Caenorhabditis elegans: one gene and its partner. The protein of the gene in region 1 interacts with the protein of each later gene in a pairwise test. Each region holds a gene or a part of one and is shown on either strand. Other genes may lie near its edges. The genes, in order: uev-2 and brc-1.

What was found.
Region 2: the proteins of uev-2 (region 1) and brc-1 interact in a two-hybrid assay, tested with the Caenorhabditis elegans proteins (one study listed by BioGRID).

Annotation. Positions count from the first base shown.
Region 1 is NC_003281.10:5,577,341-5,587,354, forward strand, and holds uev-2 (UBC core domain-containing protein), read left to right. Parts: upstream 1-5,784; 5' UTR 5,785-5,800; coding exon 5,801-5,947; intron 5,948-6,054; coding exon 6,055-6,174; intron 6,175-6,215; coding exon 6,216-6,303; intron 6,304-6,395; coding exon 6,396-6,546; intron 6,547-6,686; coding exon 6,687-6,873; 3' UTR 6,874-7,182; downstream 7,183-10,014. Other genes in the region: F56D2.5 (RBR-type E3 ubiquitin transferase), read right to left, coding at 1,260-1,331, 1,383-1,764, 2,000-2,098, 2,144-2,235, 2,283-2,396, 2,441-2,593, 2,961-3,239, 3,606-3,728; F56D2.8 (DUF4440 domain-containing protein), read right to left, coding at 4,548-4,595, 4,673-4,848, 4,894-5,071; F56D2.3 (DUF148 domain-containing protein), read left to right, coding at 7,722-7,844, 8,299-8,423, 8,569-8,773, 8,821-9,050, 9,265-9,445; F56D2.2 (RBR-type E3 ubiquitin transferase), read left to right, coding at 9,923-10,014.
Region 2 is NC_003281.10:3,857,420-3,868,603, reverse strand, and holds the start of brc-1 (Breast cancer type 1 susceptibility protein homolog), read left to right. Parts: upstream 1-5,645; coding exon 5,646-5,716; intron 5,717-5,769; coding exon 5,770-6,115; intron 6,116-6,571; coding exon 6,572-6,800; intron 6,801-6,849; coding exon 6,850-6,923; intron 6,924-6,985; coding exon 6,986-7,324; intron 7,325-9,382; coding exon 9,383-9,511; intron 9,512-9,558; coding exon 9,559-9,658; intron 9,659-10,167; coding exon 10,168-10,286; intron 10,287-11,184. Other genes in the region: rpl-3 (Large ribosomal subunit protein uL3), read right to left, coding at 24-159, 377-741; acs-19 (Acetyl-coenzyme A synthetase), read right to left, coding at 1,774-2,602, 2,654-2,980, 3,039-3,154, 3,279-3,989, 4,040-4,099. UniProt on the Caenorhabditis elegans protein: E3 ubiquitin-protein ligase that specifically mediates the formation of polyubiquitin chains and plays a central role in DNA repair.

The DNA of each region.
Region 1 (10,014 bases):
TGTACACCAGGTATTGTAGGCCTTGTAGGATTGTAGGATATTGTAAAATTCTGGTTCACTCAAAGATCAAAAATGTGCTCATCGCGACAAAAGCGCAAAGTTTCTATAACATCGAAAATTGTTTTTTTGTATCATCGCAAAGGTATTGTTACTAACAAAAAAAACTTGAATGAAATATATACATTTATTCGGAAATTTCACAAGAAAAAAATTTCATTTAGAGACCAGAAAAAGGATGCACTGCACAAGACTCTTGATATCACTGTTCAGGATGCACTGTAAATAGTCGAAATCAAAATTTGATCTAAAACTAAATAAATACCTCGGCTTTCATATGCTTTAATTCTTCATTGATTTCTGTCCAGGCCCAAACAAGAATGAGCGCATAGCAAAGCTGTCAAGCTCTTCTGGACGGATCTGAAAAAATGAGTGAAATTTATTTTAAACCTTACAAATTTTTTGGAGAGATCATTATTTTCACTCTTTTATCGAAAAATTACTATGGCATGCCAAAGTCCGGGGACCCGTTTTTTCACTTCCCTTGTTAATGCGATAATTACACACCTGATTCTTGATCTCAATCAATTGTTTTCAGCGTATCATTGAAAGCGTTTGAATCGATAGCTTTGAGCATAGTTTCCAGATTTATCAACAGATTAGGAACGCTTAATCCTTCATTTTGTTGCATCGACTCACACGATTCCTTGACTTTTGGCACTCTAGAATTAAGTTAGAAGGCATTATATATAGTTAAAAGACAAATTTACCCTGTTGCCTCCGATGTTCCCTTTTTTATTAGACGCCCACCACAGTTATCCACATCACATTTTCTTTTATTCCCGACTCTTTCAGATGTGTTTGCTGTACCCAGACTCAAATTACCATCCTTCGAACAAAAATATGAAATCTTCTTATTTTTGTCGAGTTGGACAACAGCGATGTTTGTCATTCCGAAAATTAATACCAATATTTTTAAAAATTAAATTTGAATTGTACTCATCATCATGTTCTTTTCTCCATACCGTTTATACATTTCTTCTTTTCTAGCTTCCTTTTTTTAAAATGAAACCTCGAAACTTTCCTTCAATCATTCATTTTGTGAAATTGTTAATTGCGAATAGGAAAATTATAACTTATTATTTACAAAAAATTCGAATTATCATTGCGATACATTATGTATAATATAACAAAACATATTCAAACGAAAAATAATAACAACTAAAGATATGAATTACTTAAAACCGTGATGAGACCCATTTTTATTCCCAGTCAAACTCATCCACTTCTTCATCTACCCAAGTACCTTGAAATAAACGTCCGTTGCAAGATCCCTGAAATGCAATTATGTTTAAGAAGTTTTACTAATACTAATATTTTAGTACCTTCTCCGAGTAATGACTGTATGGATCCACATTATTCAGAGTTTTAGAGCACAACCAACAGAACGAGGCATTACATTTTGTACAATGCATCTTATTGCATCCTTCGTCCTTCTCAATGTACACTAAACATTTCGGACACTGCTTGCTGTTCTCCTCCAGCCATCCACGATTAAGGAATCGTTCCTCCAGAGCCTTCATGTTCTTCTCTCCATACCGTTTATACATTTCTTCTTTTCCTGCTTCATCTGCTTCATTCCATTCTTTCATTATTCTCTCCTCGTCTTCTTTTCTAAATTTACACCTTGAGACTCCATGGAACGTTCCTTTGCACAAATTGCAGAAAGAATAATTGCAATAGGAGCATTCAACAAGGTTGCGTTGGCTGAAAAAATGTTTTTGTGAACTTATCATACGCTCAAAAAAATCAAGTCTTTGAGAGTCATTGTGAGCAGAATTATGGGCACCCAAAGATTTTATACGAGAAATCCAGCGGGCTCAACAAATTTCAACACTCAAATTTCAAACCGACAATCACAGAGCTCCAGACACAAAGTTCAAGAAAAATTCACGAGTTCTGATAGTCTAATAGCAACACAACACATTTTTCTAAATTTTACCTGTCAGTTAGATAAGCCACCATTTGGCAATTTTCATTTGGACATTCCATTGAATCATCCATTTCTCGAATTGCTTTTTCTAGCATATGAGCTTCATACCTTTAAAAATTAATCAAATACTTGTCAATCTCCTAGGAATCTTACTTTGCAAACAGCTCCTCTCCTAGAGCCTCTTGCACCATACCCTGTTGGGCTTCATTTTCACATCCTTCTGCTAGACATGACATTGGTTTCGACTGAAAAATCCAATAAAAATATATCAGCTAAGAAAATTCAAACTAACCACAAACCCCTTGGCAATAGAAATATAATAGTTGAAAGTGCAGGATTTGCAGAAAACATGAGAACATGGCTGGAACTTTATGCAGTGCTGTCCCATTTGGGATTCGAAGCATACCTGGAAATTTTGATGAAAAATTAGAAAAAAAATACAAACGTTACTTGGCAATCGTAGAGGGTATTAACAAACTGTTCTTCAACAGCTTCCTCTTCTTTCTGTAGTATTTTCATTTTCAGAGATTCGATAGTCTCTCCTTGTCTGTTCAGTGCACATGCCTCGTTCAAATTTATAATTTTCGGAGTGTTCTGGGCCATCTGAAATTTGATAGTTGAAAAAGACGCCAGCTGCTTGAATCAAAGAACGTAGCAGTCGACATTCCGCAGAATTAAAAAAGTTAAATTCTGCATGAGATATCTAGATTTAAATTCGCTCAAAGGCATACCCGTGAGATGTCGGTCTTCTAATCAACATCCTACTTCTAATGAATATGTAATTTCTACTATCTGTGTAGACCGTTACATCTCAGAACGCTTTGCAGACGACATATCGCGGGTAGCCCATCTATGTCATTCAATAACGAACCAGCAAAATGTCGGCTGCAGTTAAATTTAGCAGAGGACACCTTACGTGTCTGAGATGTCGGCTCATAATGGTGCTTTTTATTTGATTCTCGCTACTCACCAAATCAATTATTGTCTGGTAGCACATAAAAAGCACCTCCATCATCTGGTTTTCCTCGCAAATCTTTGCCAACTCGGTTTCACAAGATGTCATTTGTTCCTGATTCATCCAATAACTTTCCAGTTCAAGTTTTGGTGATGATACGGTGGGATAATCATTTGGAAGATGGAATTTTAGTCGAATTGGAGGAAGAATGTCAAGAGGAAGATGAAATTGATCGCCGGAGTCAGATGTTCCTTCAATTGTGACTGTTGGATCGTATAAGTTGTCAAATCCGACCTGAAATTGCACTTGACTATTCTAAAACTCATTTAAAAAAACCAACTAACCAACTTTCAACCGTAACTTAGTGACTCTTCTAAAAAATACTTTACTCCATATATGGCCATATTAGTTTATCTCGTACAGGAAAATAGTCAACCGTGGCCAAAATTTCGGGCTAATGATTATGGAGGCTATTGAAATTTTCTATACTTTGTTACCTTAAATATTTTTGATAACTTACATAATTACGTAGAAAGTGTAGCTAAAATATAGTAAGGGTAGTTTCAGATAAATAATTTTTTGTTGTTATTTAGTGGACATTAAATTACTTTTTTAAAAGTTAAAATACCCCAGCTTCTCTCAAAAAACCAAAATCTTTACCTCAATAATTCCCTGGATTTCAGCATTCTTATCACTCCAATCACTGGATTTCGCCAGTTTCTTCTCTCTTAGAACACTTTCCAATGCTTCCAATTCATATATTTGCAGGTCACGATCAGTCATTTTTTATCGATTTTTAGACAAGAGACGCAGAGATTCAATAGACGGAGTTTAGGTAATTTAGAAATGAATGTTCAGGAATTTATAGAAAATATTTTACATTATTAGTCAAAAATGTTCAAACAATATATGAGGAAAGTTTGCGGAACAAAAATCAAAATTAATTACTAAAATATTGCGAAATATTGCAAAATTGTAATGAGTAAAATTGCGCAATGTGATAGATAACCTGTTGTGGAAACGATGAGAAATACAATTTGAAACTTTAAATTTAGAGTATTATCAGTGAGAAATTGTTCAACTTAAATTGTGTTTTTCTCTACGTGATGTGTACTTTAATTGCGTTTCAATTGTTTGTATTTAAACAATCGAAGAGTTCAAATTTGCAGCAATGCTTGAAATTGCCCCCAAAAGTTCAATTTTTCAATTTGCCAAACCTTTCACTAAAATTTTTGAAAAATGTATCTATCCATGTACCTTATTCTTCAGGAATTGATAAAATCTATCGATTCATAAAAAACTAAAGCTATTCCAACAGAATAGAAAAACACAATGTTCAAAAATGAAAGAATATTAAAATCATGTGAAAAGGGAAAACTTCCAGAAAGTCGACTCTTCTCGTTTACTGCGTTTTGTGAATATCTGAAAACTTTGTACGGATTTGTTACCATTTCTTCAATAGGCCGTGTATCATTCTGTCAATTTTTGGTGGATAGGTAAAATGTAACAGCCAATTTGATTTCTGAAAAGTTTTCGAAACATTTTTAAATATATTTAAAACATTTATTTAGGTCATACAAGTCCCGATATTCGAATATGAAACTACATCCAATCACTGAAGTGCACCATTGTCCAGCCTTTCCATTTGTTCTGCAAATTAAAATTTATCTACAAATCTATTCTGGTGATTGCGGCTGGATAAAATTTTAGTCCAACTCCCTGATTACCTCGTATTTTATCTTGAAAATAGTCGTTTTTTTGGACAAAAGGGGCGTGTTGGGGTAATATCTGACATTAATCTGAATGACTCCATACTCGTAGCGAACTCGTTCAATTATTCCGGTCGGATAAGATTCAAAAGATTTGATGATTCCCTGTGCCGCTTCAATCATGCCACTGACAGCTGAAAATAACTAAATTTCAAAATTGTTTCTGATATCGTACTTACGAAGCATATCATCCGGAGCAAAAAGATCCACTACTGCAACTGGGTCCCCTGATTTGATAGCTGCCTGGAACTTTTCGAAGAACTCCTTCGGTACGTTGGCATATTCTTCGGGGACTGGATCCAATGAAAAGACAATAGAAGCACTTGAAAGAGCTAGAAGAAAAATTGGAAGACGCATATTTTGGTTTGGCTACATGGCGAACTGAGCATTTTTATAGTTCGAAATGCTAATTCAATTAGAATGTGAAAATTGTCAATCAATGCGGAGGTTGATGTTTGGTGTCGTATTGATGATCATGATCATTTTGGGCATTTTGAAGACACCACATGGGTTCTGCCGCGTACGGTATCCGGTCTCGTCATGATAAATTTTAGCTGAATGAAAAAGCGTGTGCAGTGTGTGGCAGAGGAGTTGCGTCATTCCACGTTTAAAAGTGTGCCCAACATCAGATATACCTTTAATCCTCCAACCCGTCGGAATCAAGTAGCTCACACACACACACACACATACATAATCTGAGAGCACGTGTAGTTTTTGTTACATGCTCAATTCTAAAACAGAGGGCGCGAGAGAGAAAGAGGCCATCTCTAGGACAACGTACTAATGATAGAGAGACGGCATCCGCTTCTGTGTGATTATGTAGCTCTTTTTCTCTCGTACCTGCCTCTTCTTCAACTTGTGATATTATCCCACGTATTCATACTCTCTTCTTCACTTTTTGTTTGAAGCTTCTGGTTGCCTTAGGCCTCGTGGGATAATATGCAACGTTTTGTGCGCTTTAAGAATATATTCACTGTAGCTTTTTCAAATAAGATCCAGCTTAGGTTCAGTTAACGCGGCTCCGGAAGCTTCGTCACGAATTGGATTACTTTGACTTTCCAGATTAGAGCTTAAGCTTTCAGAAACATGCGAAGACGTAGCAACAGACAATATGTTGATCTCTCATATTTTCGCGAAACTGCCGATGCGCTATTATTCGACGTTGAAACCAATTCACGCGAATTCACCAATGAAATCAACACTGTGAAGGAGGAGAAAGCCAAGTGGGATGAGGTAAGCTTTCACACAAAGTTTAACTCGCCTGCCTACCTGGGACCTAGGCCTGATTTATGCCTACTTCAAAAGTGGGCGTGGCATGTGTCGAAATAACTTTTTTTCAGAGAACACCGCAAGGGTATACGGCAAAGCCAATTAGTTTTGAGGGCGCAGACATATGGTGTTCTTGGATATGTACAGTACCTGGACCGAGAGGAAGCCCCTGGGAGGGAGGGGAATATGAGGTTTAATTACTTTTTAGTTCGCAAAAGTATATTATCTCCAGGTTTCCGTGAACTTTCACAAATGGCCTATAATTCCGCCAATTTGTGAATTCAAAACGCCGCTTCATCATCCGAACGTGGACCTCAGAGGTTGGTTAGAACTGTTTCGAAAAAATATGTTTGAGTGTGAAATACAGAAAACGGTAGCAAAAAGAAACGCATTATTACAAAAATCTTTACAGGATCAATTTATCTTAAAATGCTGGAACAAGAGCACTGGTCTTCTGAAACTTCACTCAAGAAACTTCTGAGGGAAATCAGCAATCTACTTGCAACGCCCGATCTTACTCAAGCTGCAAATATTGAAGCCTGGATGGAATATGAGAATCAGCGGTTAGATATATTTTAACGGCGCACAGCTGCAAATGTGAACAAACTCGGCCACCTATTCTTCTAGGCCACTTCGATTTGGAGCTAAGCGTCGTTGAACAGAGAAAAGAGAACACTTAACTTTTAAAATTATCTTGTTCCAGTGAAAATTACGAGGCTAAAGCTCGAGCTTATGCTTGGACAGTTAACCCGAACGCCGTGGGATACATGGAAGTATCCGAGAATTCCGGAATTCAGAGGGAGACAGCAAAGGCTAAGTTGGCAGTGCAAAATGGTGCCATGGAATCGGACGAGGATGATGACGATCTACCAATTGACATCGAAAACTAATATTACACAAATTTTTATATTTTTGGTATTGGCCAACGTTTTCTGTTGAAGACCTTTTCCACTTTCTCAAAACTTTCTTGCCGACACTCTATGGAATTTTTCAGATTTTTCTCCAAAAAGGTGCCAATTTTCTATACACATTTATTTAAATCCCAATGCCCCTTTTTTGCAGCAAACTTACCTGACCTATGTGATAATTTTTCCCATTTTCCCTACTTTCCCGATCACACCAATTTTTCATTCTCTTTCCAAAACCATGTCTTTTTACGAAAAAAGTGATTATTGTACCAAATAAAGCTATTCCAAACTCGTTGAGTCGGGGTGTCCTCCCATTATCTCTTAATGAAATGGCAGAACAAGAATAAATCTACGTAGTCAACATTTGTAGGCAGGGAGGTATGCTTGACTAAGCTCCAGTCTACTAAGGATTTAAAAAACTCGGCCACCGATTTCTTGTTCTCGGCCACGTTGCAATGAACCGCAATGCCCTTCAAAAAGAGGTGATACTCGTGATTGCACGTCATTACCTCATCCCCAATGTCTATATTTACTTCTCCCGCACACCTTGTCAGATATCTGCACTGTTCATGGTGTGCTCATCGCCTCGCGGAGAGAGCTCTAACCCAAAAGTTTTAAACGTAAAAAGCCGGAAACGGTATAGGTTTATCGGTTCACCGAGAGCGCGCCTAGATCGTGTGGTACCGCCCCTCCTCGCCTCCCGTCAAAGGTCTCTATTTACTCCCAAACAGTGTGCTCTCGGAGCCTCCCGATCCCCCTCGCTGACCATTGTCCACTCCACTCGACCGTGCACAGTTGACTCCTTTTTTTGTACTAGTCGGTTGTTGGAAATGAAACGTATTCTTTTGATTTCTCTATTTTCGGCGGTTGTCAACGGCTTTTACTACAAGAGAACTTTATACGGAGATGCTAATGAGGGAGCTGCCATGCCAGACTATGTTAATGCTTATTATGTGAGTTTTCTTGGCTTGTAGGATTTTTAAGTGGCAGTTTCGGCAGAGATTTCACATCTAAAATATAGTTTTTGAGTTGTTTTGCAACAAGTCAGCCAAAAAATCGGTGGCCGAGTTTTTTGCTTTCCGCGGCCACGTAGCGAAAATCCCAAGGTTAATTATTACAAGGTCACAACCATTTCGGTATGTTGTGTAGATTTTTCTAATTGAAACTAGATCAGAACACAAACGCCTGCTTGCTTGCCTTCATTCACCTACGCTTGTATCAAGATTGTGCACATTGAAAGTAGGCGTGTAGACAGGCACGTAGGTACCAAGGACTGAAGATTTCATGAAAACAACACCAAACACCAGAGTCCAGCAAGAAAAAAAACCAAAAAATAATAGGCAAGCTTTCATGAAAACGAGTCTGCCTACCAAGCCTTATTGAAAATTCTGAACATTCATTTTCCAGGGTTTTCCAACAATCCCAACACAAGAGCCACGTCGGCGACCATCTTTCAACATGAATCCACCACAAGGATATTTTCATCGGGAGCATCCATTTGACTTTGGGCCATTTGGTTATATGAGAGCAAGGTAAGTTCCGGAATAGGTGGCCAAGTTTTATCTCCTCGCGGCCACTTAGTAAAAAACTGACCGTAGCGCCAGATTACAACGATAATCTATTCAAAACTCACTTTAGACGGTACCTTAGCAACAAATAATCTTGATTTTCCTTCAGAATTGGAGAAGCCAACTTCGGTGAGCCCATGGAGAAAACTGACCGCGAGCGAGCTATGGAACGGGCCAAACCGGGATTTTGGCGTCAAAACCAACGCGAAACCATGGATCGGATCAAGAAAATTATTGGAGAGCAGAGAATGAATATGGAGCAGAAGCAAATGCATATTCGAAGAGTTCTAGCAAATGAGAGTGATGAGATAAGGGTAAGAAGATAAATAATTTTTTCTCAACAAACACAAACATTTTTCAGTCCAAATTCGCTGATATTCACAAAAGACTGATCATGAAAAACAACAAGATGACCGTCTCCTCTCCAGTTCCAGAGCTTAGCAAACAGGCGAAGAAGCTTGAGAAAGAGGCCAAGAAAATTATGGAAAACAAGAAAATGAGTGTAGAGAAGAAGCAGGAGAAACTTGACAAACTTATGCTTAAGGCTCCAGAGAACGTTAAGAATGAGCTCAATGCTATGAACGATTCGGGGTGAGCATTGAGTTTTTCATGGTAGGCAAGACGCGCATGTAGGCAGGCGCAGGTTGCATGGGAGGCAGGAAGCAGGCGTTACATGGTATTCCTAAAAAGATTCCAATCCGTGTAACACTCTCGGAGAATTCAATCATATCAAAATTGATTGATGCTTAGTCGATTTTTGTGTTTCTCCTCTATTGCTCTCTTCGAAAAATCTCAAATCTTTCAGATCAACACCTGCCCCAATTCAAGCTCCATTCCCAGCTCCAGGACAAACCGAGGCTCTTAATCGGGCAAACCCATCAATGGCTTCTCAAGTTGAAGTAATGACTCGTAATGCACCAACTCAAGCAGTGGTTGAAGCTCGTCAAATCCGAGTTTCCGAAGATGGAAAAACTGTGGAAATTTAAATAATCTGTGCTCTATGAGCAATTCTTCTTTTTGTGTATTTTACGTCTAATTTTCTCAACTGCCCAACGTCTTTCCCTTGTGCTCCATCCCCAGAAACGACGAGCTATCTGACTGTATATACAAGTGATTTCAGCTCGGCGTTTGCTCACCTGCTCAGTTCGCCTTCTGTAAATATAACCTTAATCCATTCAAAATCGTTGTTATCAATCTCAGCATATCAATTGTTTATCAGTGTTATTTAAATAATAAATATATGGGATTTTCTGCGCTAATATATTAGAAAACTCGTATCTTTCCAATAAAAAGTGGAATTTGAACATCCACGCTTTGTTTCTGTCAGATGGAGCGCGTTTGGTGCATGTTTTTTCAGCGGTTTTTTTGCCCTTTTAAAAAAGTCTAGATTTCTAAACATTTTGAACGCGATACCAGTTTTTCTTGTTCTAGTTTGTGTTAAAATAATTTCTACTAAATTTCAGATGTCAGACGACAGCCGTGAAACTCAGTTATTCGAGCTAGAAGCACTGGAGAGTGTGCTAAGGGAGAATAAATTGACGAGAATCAGTGATTG
Region 2 (11,184 bases), 1.7 Mb from region 1:
AACAAACTAAATATAAATATTACCTGAGTGTGAGCGATCACACGGATAGAAGAGCAGTACTTCTTCAGCTTGGCGAAATCAGCCTCGATGAGCTTCTTTCCATCCTCATCTTGCCACTTCTTGGCGTACTTGGTGAAAGCCTTCTTCTTGGATTTAGCCCTGTAGTTTCTACGATTACGAACAAAATGCCTTTCAGCGTACAGGACGCTTTAGCCACTCAGTTCGTTTACCATCATGTACATAAGTACAGCGGAAGGCAACCGACTTAGAAACGCGACTGCAAATACAGACTTGTAATCACGAAACCACCAAATGACACCAAAAACGCACCATAACACTGAATACAAAAAACGAAATAGTTGAAAAATAAACTAACCAGTTGCTGTAGAAGCGACGACGAGCTTCCTCGGACAAGTGCTCGGCCCAGATGGTGGTAAGAGCACGTGGTCCTTGTGGGGTGTCGACGTATCCGGTAACTCCAGCAATAACCATTGGTGGGGTCTCGACGATGGTGACGGCTTCGACAACCTCCTTCTTGTTAACCTTTGATCCTGGCTTATCGACATCACGGACGATATGGGTCATACCGGCCTTGTATCCGAGGAAAGCGGTCAAATGGATTGGCTTGCTCTTGTCATCCTTTGGGAAAGCCTTGATTCTTCCACGGTAAGTGCGGGAGCGCTTCTTTGGGGTGAATCCCATGTGTCCATGTCTCGGGGCCGAAAACTTTCGGTGAGACATTGTTGTACCCTGAAAAATATTAATTTTACGAAAAAATTATAGAAAAAGCATGAGCGAACAAAGAATAAAAATTGCGTTTTCGGTTAAAAAATTTTTTAAATAACTACTTTTCTAGACAGATACTAATTTGAACATTTTAAATTTAGAATTGCACGTAAAAAAACAAAATTTATTCGAAAAAAACATGAAAATTTTAGGCTAAAACAAATTGAAATGAAGTTTAGGCCAGTGAAAGGCGTTGGGAGACCCACACACTCGGCGCACACTTGTGCGTCGCAAAACACGCTTTTACCGTAGCTGTGGCGGCGGAGTGTACAAGTGTACGACAAGCGCGGTTGTTTGAATTCGATTTCTTTCGCAGTTGGAGAGATTCTGCAAATAATAATGTTTTTAAATACATTGTTTTTTAACGGGAAATATTCATGTAAATCAAGTTTTATTTTGAAGCATCATTATATAATCAAGAAAATCGATTTGCTTTGTTCAAACGGCCTATCAAAACAACACACTTTATGCTTAAAATAATTCATTTTCCTGTAATTTTGCAATGCAAGTTAAATCAAATATTATTTTGTATTGAACTTTCGTGGTTTTTATCATAATTCATAAAAATTGAGCTAAACATCAGATTCACTGGGCATATGAAATGCATTTCTCCATGTAAGTATTTAATCTTCTTCTTGTAATTTCATGTTTCGTGTTTTAATTATCCGAATAAGCCAAAATTGTTATCTGAAAATCTGAAATTGAGTTAAAACAATTAATCAGTTCTGAATCATTTACTTGTTTTCTAATTTCGAATTCAGGGTTCAATAAATTACTGGGGGAAATTACAACACTGGAATTTAATTCTACACAGGAGTCAATCAGGGAATGCATCTTGATTACAAAGAAGGTCATGTTGGGGTTAAAAGTTTAGATCTTGCATTGATTCTGCAGAAATTACAACGATAGAGGGGGAAAAGAGAAGTAATACAGAAAAAGTAACATTAATAGTAAGAATTGAATTGATTTACAATTGTTCAAGTTCGTTTATGCACGTGCAGAACGTCCAGAGATTAGTTGTTTGATGACAGATTCGTCGACTAGAGTAGTAGTATCACCGATTCCACTTTCGGATCCTTCAGCAATCTTTCTCAAGATTCTTCTGGTAACCTTGCCGGAACGAGTTTTTGGAAGTCCTGGAGCTTCTTGGATAACATCTGGAACAGCCAATGCACCAATTTTCTCGCGAACTAGTTTCTTGAGCTCAGCCACAAGCTTTTCATTGATTCTCTCTCCAACATTCAAAGTGACGAATGCGTATGGGAAGGATCCCTTGATGTCATGTGGAGCAGCAACAACGGCAGCTTCAGCAACTTTCTCATGAGCCACAAGAGCTGATTCAATTTCAGCAGTAGACAGAAGATGACCACTGACATTCATCAAATCATCAACACGTCCAGTTATCCACAAGTATCCATCTTCATCACGTCTGGCACCATCTCCAGTGAAATAGTATCCATTGAATGGAGCCAAATAGGTCTTGACAAAGCGTTGCTCATCTCCATAGATTCCACGCATCATTCCAGGCCAGGCACGATCAAAGCATAGTGATCCTTCTCCCGGACCTTCAATAACACGACCTTCAGCATCCAAAAGAACTGGAGATGCTCCGAAGAATGGCATTGCAGCTGCTCCTGGCTTCATTGGAGTTGCTCCTGGAAGGCATGTGATCATGTGTCCTCCAGTTTCAGTTTGCCAGTAAGTATCCACAATGGATACATTGGAAAGTCCAACTTGCTTGTACAACCACATCCATGCAGCAGGATTGATGGGCTCTCCAACTGTTCCGATAACCTTGAGAGTTTTGCGAGAAGAGCTGAAAATTAAAAATAAAGATGCTGAACAATTATTTTTGAATAATTATTACCTTTCAAGCCACTGATTTCCGAGAGCCATAAGAGCTCTTGCGGCTGTTGGTGAGGTATACAGCTTGGTCACACCATACTTATCAGTGACATCCCACATTCTAGAAGGAGTCGGATAAGTCGGCACACCTTCATACCAAATTCCCTTGAGCCCATTCATCAAAGGTCCATAAAGAAGGTACGAGTGTCCGGTGATCCATCCACAATCGGCAGTACACCAGTAAACATCGTCTTCTTGTGCATCAAAAGTGTATTTTGTGGTTGCGTAGGCGTACGTCATGTATCCAGCTGTAGTGTGTTGAATACCTTTCGGTTTTCCGGTTGAGCCACTGAAAATTAACAATTTGAATTAAATGAGAAATAAGTAAATTCTAATTCTGAACTAACGATGTGTAGAGAATAAATAGCGGATCTTCAGAATCCATCCATTCTACCGGGGAATCCACGCCTGCACACTTGAGCATCTCCGAATCGTAGATGACGGTGATATCGGTGTAATCGACCTGAAAAATGTTTTTTGTTGTAATTTTAAATGAAAAATCAATAAAACTTAATTTTTTTCTGGTTTTTCTGAATTTGAGACTACTTTGAGCATTTTAGAGCATTAAATTTATTATATTTAGTTACCTTGGGAAGTTCCACTCCATCAGGCTTCGTGACTCGTTTTAAGTGTTCCACCATAATGATAGCTTCCACTTTGACATCTTCCTGCGATGCGAGAACGGCAGCTGCATCCGCAATTGACTTGAGCCCAATTGGTTTAGCTCCTCGAAAAACTCCGTCCGCCGTAACCAAAACTCTGCAGCGAGCGTCGACAACACGAGCGGCAAGTGATTCGGCAGAGAAACCAGCGAAAACAACAGAATGCATTGCTCCGATACGGGCACACGCAAGCATTGCAACTGCTAATTCGGGAATCATTGGAAGATATAAAGCAACCACATCGCCTCGTTTGACGCCATGAGATCTCAGAACAGCGGAGAATTGGACTACTTGGGCGTGTAGCTCGTTGTATGTCCAGGTGGAGGTGTCGGTTGGCTCGTTTCCTTCGAAAATGTAGGCGATTTTGTTTCCATATCCACGTTTAATGTTTCTTTCCAAACAGTTGTACGAGATGTTAGTCTTGGCTCCATCCATAAACTTGACGAAGACATTTCCAGCTTTCGAGTCGAAATTCCATTCGAGACCCTTAGAGGTTCCTTGTTCGAAATGGAGTTCAGATGAGACGGTACGCCAGAACTCGTCAGCATCGTTGATCGAGGAACGGTACAAATCGTGGTAAGATTGAAGGCCAGCACAGTGAGCACCGGCAAGGAGTGGGGCTGGAGGGAGGAAAATCTGAAATCTATTGGTTTTAAAAGTATTCTTTCGAAGAAATAAATTCTTACATCCTCGTCGAGACCTTCTCCATCGTTGGCTAGGTTGAACTTGACGCGAACGTCCGACATGATGAGATGCAATAACCTGAAAATGAGGCACTTTATGATAAGAAAATGCGGTAAAACATGCGAAATATGGCACCATAAACCGTGAGCAGGACAAAGAACAAACACTTGGAAAAGAAAAGAAAATAGAAAGAAAAAAAGGAAAACTGGAGAAAACAAACTCAATAACACAACGCGAGAAATACAATTTCGTTTCGTTTTTTCTTCTATTTATTAGATTTCTCACAATTTGTTACCAGTAAAGTCACGTTCTATATTTCAAACTACTCCTAAAATTCGGTTTGAACAGTTCTCTGATAAACGAATTTCGAAGAACGATCAGAAAACAAATCTACGGTTGTGTGTGATCAATGGGGTCAAACGGTGGACGAAAGGGGACGGCGGAGAGAGGAAAAAGTGAGAGAAAATAAATAAAATTGACCTTCGAGTGCAGAGTTTTGCTGGTATTTTGGTCAGAATTGATTATGAAAATCTGAAAATTACCGCCGGGAAAGTTGAAAATTTGACGTGGAAACGTTTAAAAAAATAAGATGAGAAAGTTAGTACTGTAGATGTCGTCGGATCAAGTGCACAGTACGCAAGCACCGTTACGAAAAATTGCACTAATTGCTCAATTAAATTTTTTTAAAAAATTAATTTTTATAGTGTGTTTTGTGTTTTTTTTCTGCTTTTTTAATGATTTTTAAAGGCTTGATTATGTTTTTTTCTCAAAATTTGAATAATCAATAACATTAATTAATTACTTTATTAAAAAACCACATTTGGCATTTTAATAAAGCAAGTTATCGCGACAAACGGCAAAAATGTCTCTTTTTATAAAAATTGTTTTTTTTTGAGTTAAGAGAAGATGTGGAGTTTTTTGAACTACATTAGTTTTCTAAAAATTTTATCATCTAGATTTTGAGGAAAAAAGCAGATTATATATCTTTAATCTTGGTTTTAAAATTTTTTTAAAAAGCAGAATATTAAAGTAAAATATTATAAAAAGAAAAATTCGTGTTTGCAAAATTTGTTTGAACGGAACCTTGCAAAAATGATATTTAGCAGCTAAACTAACTGAAAACTACTGCATAAAGCTTTCCCAAAAAGAGCTACCATCCAGAAAATGTTTTTTTTTTCAAAGCCGAAAAAGAAGAAAAAAAGATAGAAAACCGAAAAAGCAGCATCGTTTTCGCGCACTCTTTCTTCTTTTTTTCTTTCTTTTTCTAAAAAAAAATATTCTCCGTAGCTTGAAGTCTCAGGATTTCCAAAGGGAATTTCCTTGATAGAATATGGAAAAACAAGAGAGTCATCAGAGAAGGGAGAGGAAAAGCGGGGATGCTGGCGAAGACCGGGGGCACCGACTGAAATATAGGCACCGGCGGGGAGGCGGGGCGCTCTCTCCTCTCCGCTTTACTCCGCCCCGATTGTCAGTGGAGCAGGTTTGCAATGAGTGTTCTCTGATGCCCCCTCAGCGCGGGAGTTTTGAAATCAAATATTTTGTATTTTAACCTACTTTATTGATTTTTCAATTAAAATGAAATGTTATTTGTTTAAAATTTAATTTCAGATGGCAGATGTTGCACTGAGGATCACAGAAACAGTGGCACGACTGCAAAAAGAACTGAAATGTGGAATTTGGTAATTTATTTTCAAAAAATCAACAAAAAAACCTTAAATTGGTTTTTTTTCAGCTGTTCAACATACAAAGATCCAATTCTGTCCACATGTTTCCATATTTTCTGTCGTTCTTGCATTAACGCTTGCTTCGAACGAAAACGAAAAGTTCAATGCCCAATTTGTAGAAGTGTACTGGATAAGCGAAGTTGTCGAGATACTTATCAAATTACAATGGCTGTGCAGAACTATTTAAAGCTATCAGAAGCATTTAAAAAAGATATTGAGAATATGAATACGTTCAAGTCACTGCCGCCAGAGAAAATGTTCATGGAAAGTCAAATGCCGCTGGATATCACGATTATTCCAGAGAATGATGGAAAACGATGCGCTCCAGATTTTGCTATACCTTTTTTGCCAGTGGTATGCTTTTTGGCACAAAAAACCAATTAAAACCAAAAGAAAATCACTAAAAATATTTCTAAAATGTCAAATAAAAACATTTTTCACCTTTTTTTGTGTCGTATAGCGATTAAATCAATTTTTAATAATTTTATTACACACTTTTTTCATCGATTTGCTAATTTCTGACTGAAAATCATAGCGGACTGCGAAAAAATTTCGTCAAAAACACGAAAAAAGCAGAAAAGAAATATTTTTTACTTTTTTTTTGTTTGGAAAACTGGACTCTATAGTTACATTTTCTAGTGTATTTTTTTGGGAAAAAAAATTAAAAATGCAATACAAATTGCTAATTAGCTAAATAGTTGAAAAATTTTGAGTTTTTGCATAATTTAGTCCGTTTTTCGAAGTTATCATTAAAAAATTCGGCCTTTTTGGGCTATTTTGACTCTATTAACATTAAATCTGTATTTTCAGCGCCGAAAGCGACCGAGTCGACCACAACCGCCGAGCGCATTCGCCGAGGAGCCTGCAGAACCGGTAGAACCGCCAGAACCAGCCACAAAACAACCTGTAGAGCTCCAAAGTCGAGTATTCCCGCTGGAAAAATTGAAAAAAGACGTGGAAACCTCTACAGAAACGTATAAAATATCAAGAGAAGAACTGAAAAATGTTGATATTGAAGAATACATAAATACCCTCCGAGGTTGGTCAAAAATCAAAAAAAAATTCGCTAATTTTTGCCAATTTTCCAGAAAATTCGACAGAGATTGATGAAATCGATGCACTTTTCCAATTAATGCCGACGATGCGACAATTTCTTCGAAATGTTTGTGATGATTCGGGCTTATTTAGAGGAAAATAATTTTTGAAATAAAATATTTTTTGCAGAATATCAATCAGCTAATGGAGAAATTCCATGTGGCGCCACCGAAAAAATCAGAGAAACCAGCGAATCGAAGAGTATCCTTTGCGAGTTCTCAAGATCTTGAAAACATAAAAATTATGACAGCTTCTGAATCGCTGGAAACTCCTCCTGAGCCAATCCAAAAACTAGCCCAAAAGCCTGAAGTTTTCAAAAGTACTCAAAATTTGATCGATTTGAATCTAAATACTGCAGTGAAAAAGCCAGTGGTCGTAGCATCAGATGATGATGAAGTTGTAGAAGATTCTGAAGGAGAACTACAAATTGATGAAGATGATCTGGCAAATGTTACCTGTGCTACAAGTGTAAGAAATATAGGAAAATCATTGTGTGCAGAATATATCAGGGGTGTGCGGCAAATTTGCCGAATTTGTCGTTTGCCGAGCTCGGCAAATTTCAAAAAAGTTGATTTGCCGAATTTGCCGAGCTCGGCAAATTTCGAAATTTGCCGCACACGTCAAAAATTTGACAGTACAATTTCGACTAAAACTACTGATTTTTTCGCCAAAAATTCAGTAAAATGACACAAAATTGAGTTATTTTGATGCTTAAGCAGACATACTACACGGAACTGATTCCGAAGCCAGATGTGTGTTAAGAATTCGGTAGTTTTGGTGGTCCAAAAACATCAAAAAATATCAAAAATTTCCGAGTTTGTTAAGCACGGCAAATTTGCCGAATTTGCCGAATTAGCCGAGCTCGGCAAATTTGCCGAATTTGCCGTGCTCGGCAAATATTGAACAAAGAGATTTGCCGAATTTGCCGAGCTCGGCAAATTTTGCGATTTGCCGCACACCCCTGGAATATATGGTTTTCAACAGAAAAATTCAATTTTAATTTTAAAAAAAGTTGAATTGTTTTATAAAAAAGTGCTGAACCCGAAAAAAAAACATAATTTTGAGAAAATGCAAATATTTTTTCATTCAAAATTTCCATTTTTGTTATAATTTCGAGCATAACTTTAAAGAAAAAATTTGAAAATAAATTTTTAAGCAATTTTTTTTTAAATATCAGGTTGTCCCATAAGTTTTTGTACTTTTTTTCAAATATTTTTCCAAAACTTCTAGAAAGTTTTAAAATTTTTTCATCGTAGGTCGTGTCAAGGTCGGGTCGTCCCCTTTCAGAAAAGATTCATTTCATCCATTTCTACTTTGCCACGATGACAATCATCAAACTTGAACGTCGAGACGTTAGATTGCTTCTTCTTTATGAATTTCGTCTTGGTCATTCAGCAATGGAAGCGGAACGAAACATATGCGGTGCGATGGGTGAGGGAGCACTCTCTTATAATACAGCAAAGAGTTGGTTTCAAAAGTTCAAGAACGGCGACTTCAGTCTCGAAGAAATAGAACGTTCTGGGCGACCGGTAGAGTTAAATGAAGAAGACCTAGTGAAGCTGGTGGAGGAAGAGCCTCGTCTTAGTCTTCGTGAAATGGAAGAGAAGCTTGAGTGTTGTCATAGCACAATTGCACGTCACTTGGGTCGCCTTGGTTTTACTTCAAAACTTGGAATTTGGGTGCCTCATGAACTTTCGGCATCACAGAAGCTCACTCGGGTCAACGTTTGTACTCAACTTCTAACTTTTCGTCGAAAGTTCGATTGGCTGAACAATCTGGTTACTGGAGATGAGAAGTGGGTGCTCTATGTTAACCATTCCAGAAAACGTCAATGGCTTCCGATCGGTGAGAAAGGAATACCGACGCCAAAGCCTGATCTTCACCCAAAAAAGATTATGATCTGTGTCTGGTGGGGTGTTCAAGGACCCGTGCACTGGGAATTGTTGCCAACTAATAAAACTATCACTGCTGATTACTATTGTGCCCAATTGGACCGAGTTGCAGAAAAGACCAACGGAAAATATGAAAAACTATATTTTCTTCACGATAATGCTAGGCCTCATGTCGCCAAGAAGACTTTCCAAAAGCTGCAAGATCTTGGTTGGACTGTTTTACCGCATCCACCATATTCTCCAGATCTTGCACCAACCGACTACCATTTGTTCTTGTCTCTCAGTGACTACATGCGCGACAAGCAATTCGACGACGAAGAGCATCTCAAAACTGAACTCTCCACTTTCTTCTCATCGCGTTCGCCGGATTTCTTCTCCCGTGGCATCATGATGTTACCTAGTAAATGGCAACAAGTGGTGGACACTAATGGTGAATACTTGTGTGAATAGTACTACTTGTCGCTTGAGAGAAATAAATTTTTTTCAAAAAAAAAATAGTACAAAAACTTATGGGACAACCTGATAGAAAAATCGAAATATTATTGGAGATATCGGAAAAACTAAAAATAATAATTAAAACAAAAACAAAAATATTCCAATTTTGAAAAAAAGCCAAATAAAAATTATTTTTCAGTCAACTACCCTTGACGCCGACCGTACACCGAAAGCAATTCAAGATGACGAAGATCGAATCGACGATGAGTTGTCACAAGTACCAAAAACAATTGTTTGCTCGAGAATTCATAATGATGCGGACGAAGTAGTGGGACTGGTGGATGTTTGAAATTCAAACATTTTCTTATTTTTCAGGAACTTCTCAGCGATTTCTATCACAAATTCTTGTCAAATGCGTGCCGATTTGCGGAGGATGTGAATGAGCACACGACTCATTTGGTGATGATGAATAGTGGTTCGTTAAAACTGTGAAATTTGGAGGAAGACTTTTTTCTTAGAGATATTGTTCTCAAAAATAATCTGTGAAAAAAATTTAAAAAAAACCATGATTTTACCAAATTTTTGCAAACGGCAGAATAAAAAATCGAACCATTTTGCAGAAAAATGGTTTTTTTAACGCTTTTTAAAAAATCCAAAAATTGAGAATTTTAGATTTTTAAAATGATGCAATTTTTTGGTTTTTTTCCCAGATATATTCGAAAAACCGAAAATTAAATTTACAAAAAAGAGAAACAACGGTTTCATAAAATTTTGTACATTTTCTTCCAAAAATTAAAAAAAATTGCCAAAATTTTAAGCTATTAAAAAAATCTAAGTGTGCTCAAAATATCGGAAATTCGAAAAAACAAAATTCTCGTTTTTCGATTTTCCGCGCGAAATTTTAAAATAAGTTGGATTTTTTCATCGAGAAAAACCTATTTAAAACCGATTTTTAGTTCAAAATAATTTTTAACTAATTTTCAGAAGGCCGTTCAATTTCTCAAAAATCCACAGCATATCTCTATGCAATTGCTCGAAAATGCGTTATTGTAGGACGTCAATGGCTTGTAGATTGTATAACAACGGGTCTTTTACTGTCTGAGGTAATATTTTAATTTTTGTGTTTCATTTTAATTTCCGCTTTAAAAAAATGTTCCGATGAGATGGTCTGATACAAAAAGTGGTGAATTCTGTTGATAAATGTGTGCGATCTCTGGTCGAATTCTTTCAAAATTCACATGAAAATGAGTTTATCAGAGCAGAGTACACACACACCCAACATGCTTGTGATTTTGAAAATTATCGGAATTAATGTTCATTGAAATTGTTTATTTATTTTGGGTGTTTTTTGAGATTGTGCATAATTCGAAAAACGATCAGATTTAAAATGAAATTGAAAGGTTTTAATATGGGGTGAGCAGGGACAAAATATGGAAAATGTTGGAAATATGGGGTGAGCACGGGGGAATTACACTGCAACTTTTTTCGAACGAGGGACGAGGCAAAAAGGTTTCTAGGCCATGGCCGAGTCCCCGACAAGTTTCAGCGGCCATTTATGTTGCTTTGTTTTCCGCGTGTTTTCTTTCGTTTTTCACCAATTTTCCCCATTTTTTCTTATTAATACTAATAAATAAATATTTTTTGCAGATGCTAAAACAATTTCCAAGTGAAAAAATTGTGTATTGAGTCTGTAAGTAGCGGTGAAAGTGGTCAATGCAATATGATGGATTACGGGAATAAAAAACCCAAACTTTTTCCCACACATGCTGCTCTGATGCTGAAACTACCTGATTTTCATAACGAGATCACTGAAAAAGTTTTGAGGTTTTCAAAATTCAACTTTTTTGGTGAAAAAGTAGAGATTTTCGCATAAAAAGTTGAATTTTGAAAACCTCAAAACTTTTTCAGCGGTCTCGTTATGAAAATCAGGTACTTTTAGCATCTAAACATCTATGTATCATGTTTGGGGAAAAGTTTGGGTTTTGTATTCCCGTAATCCAT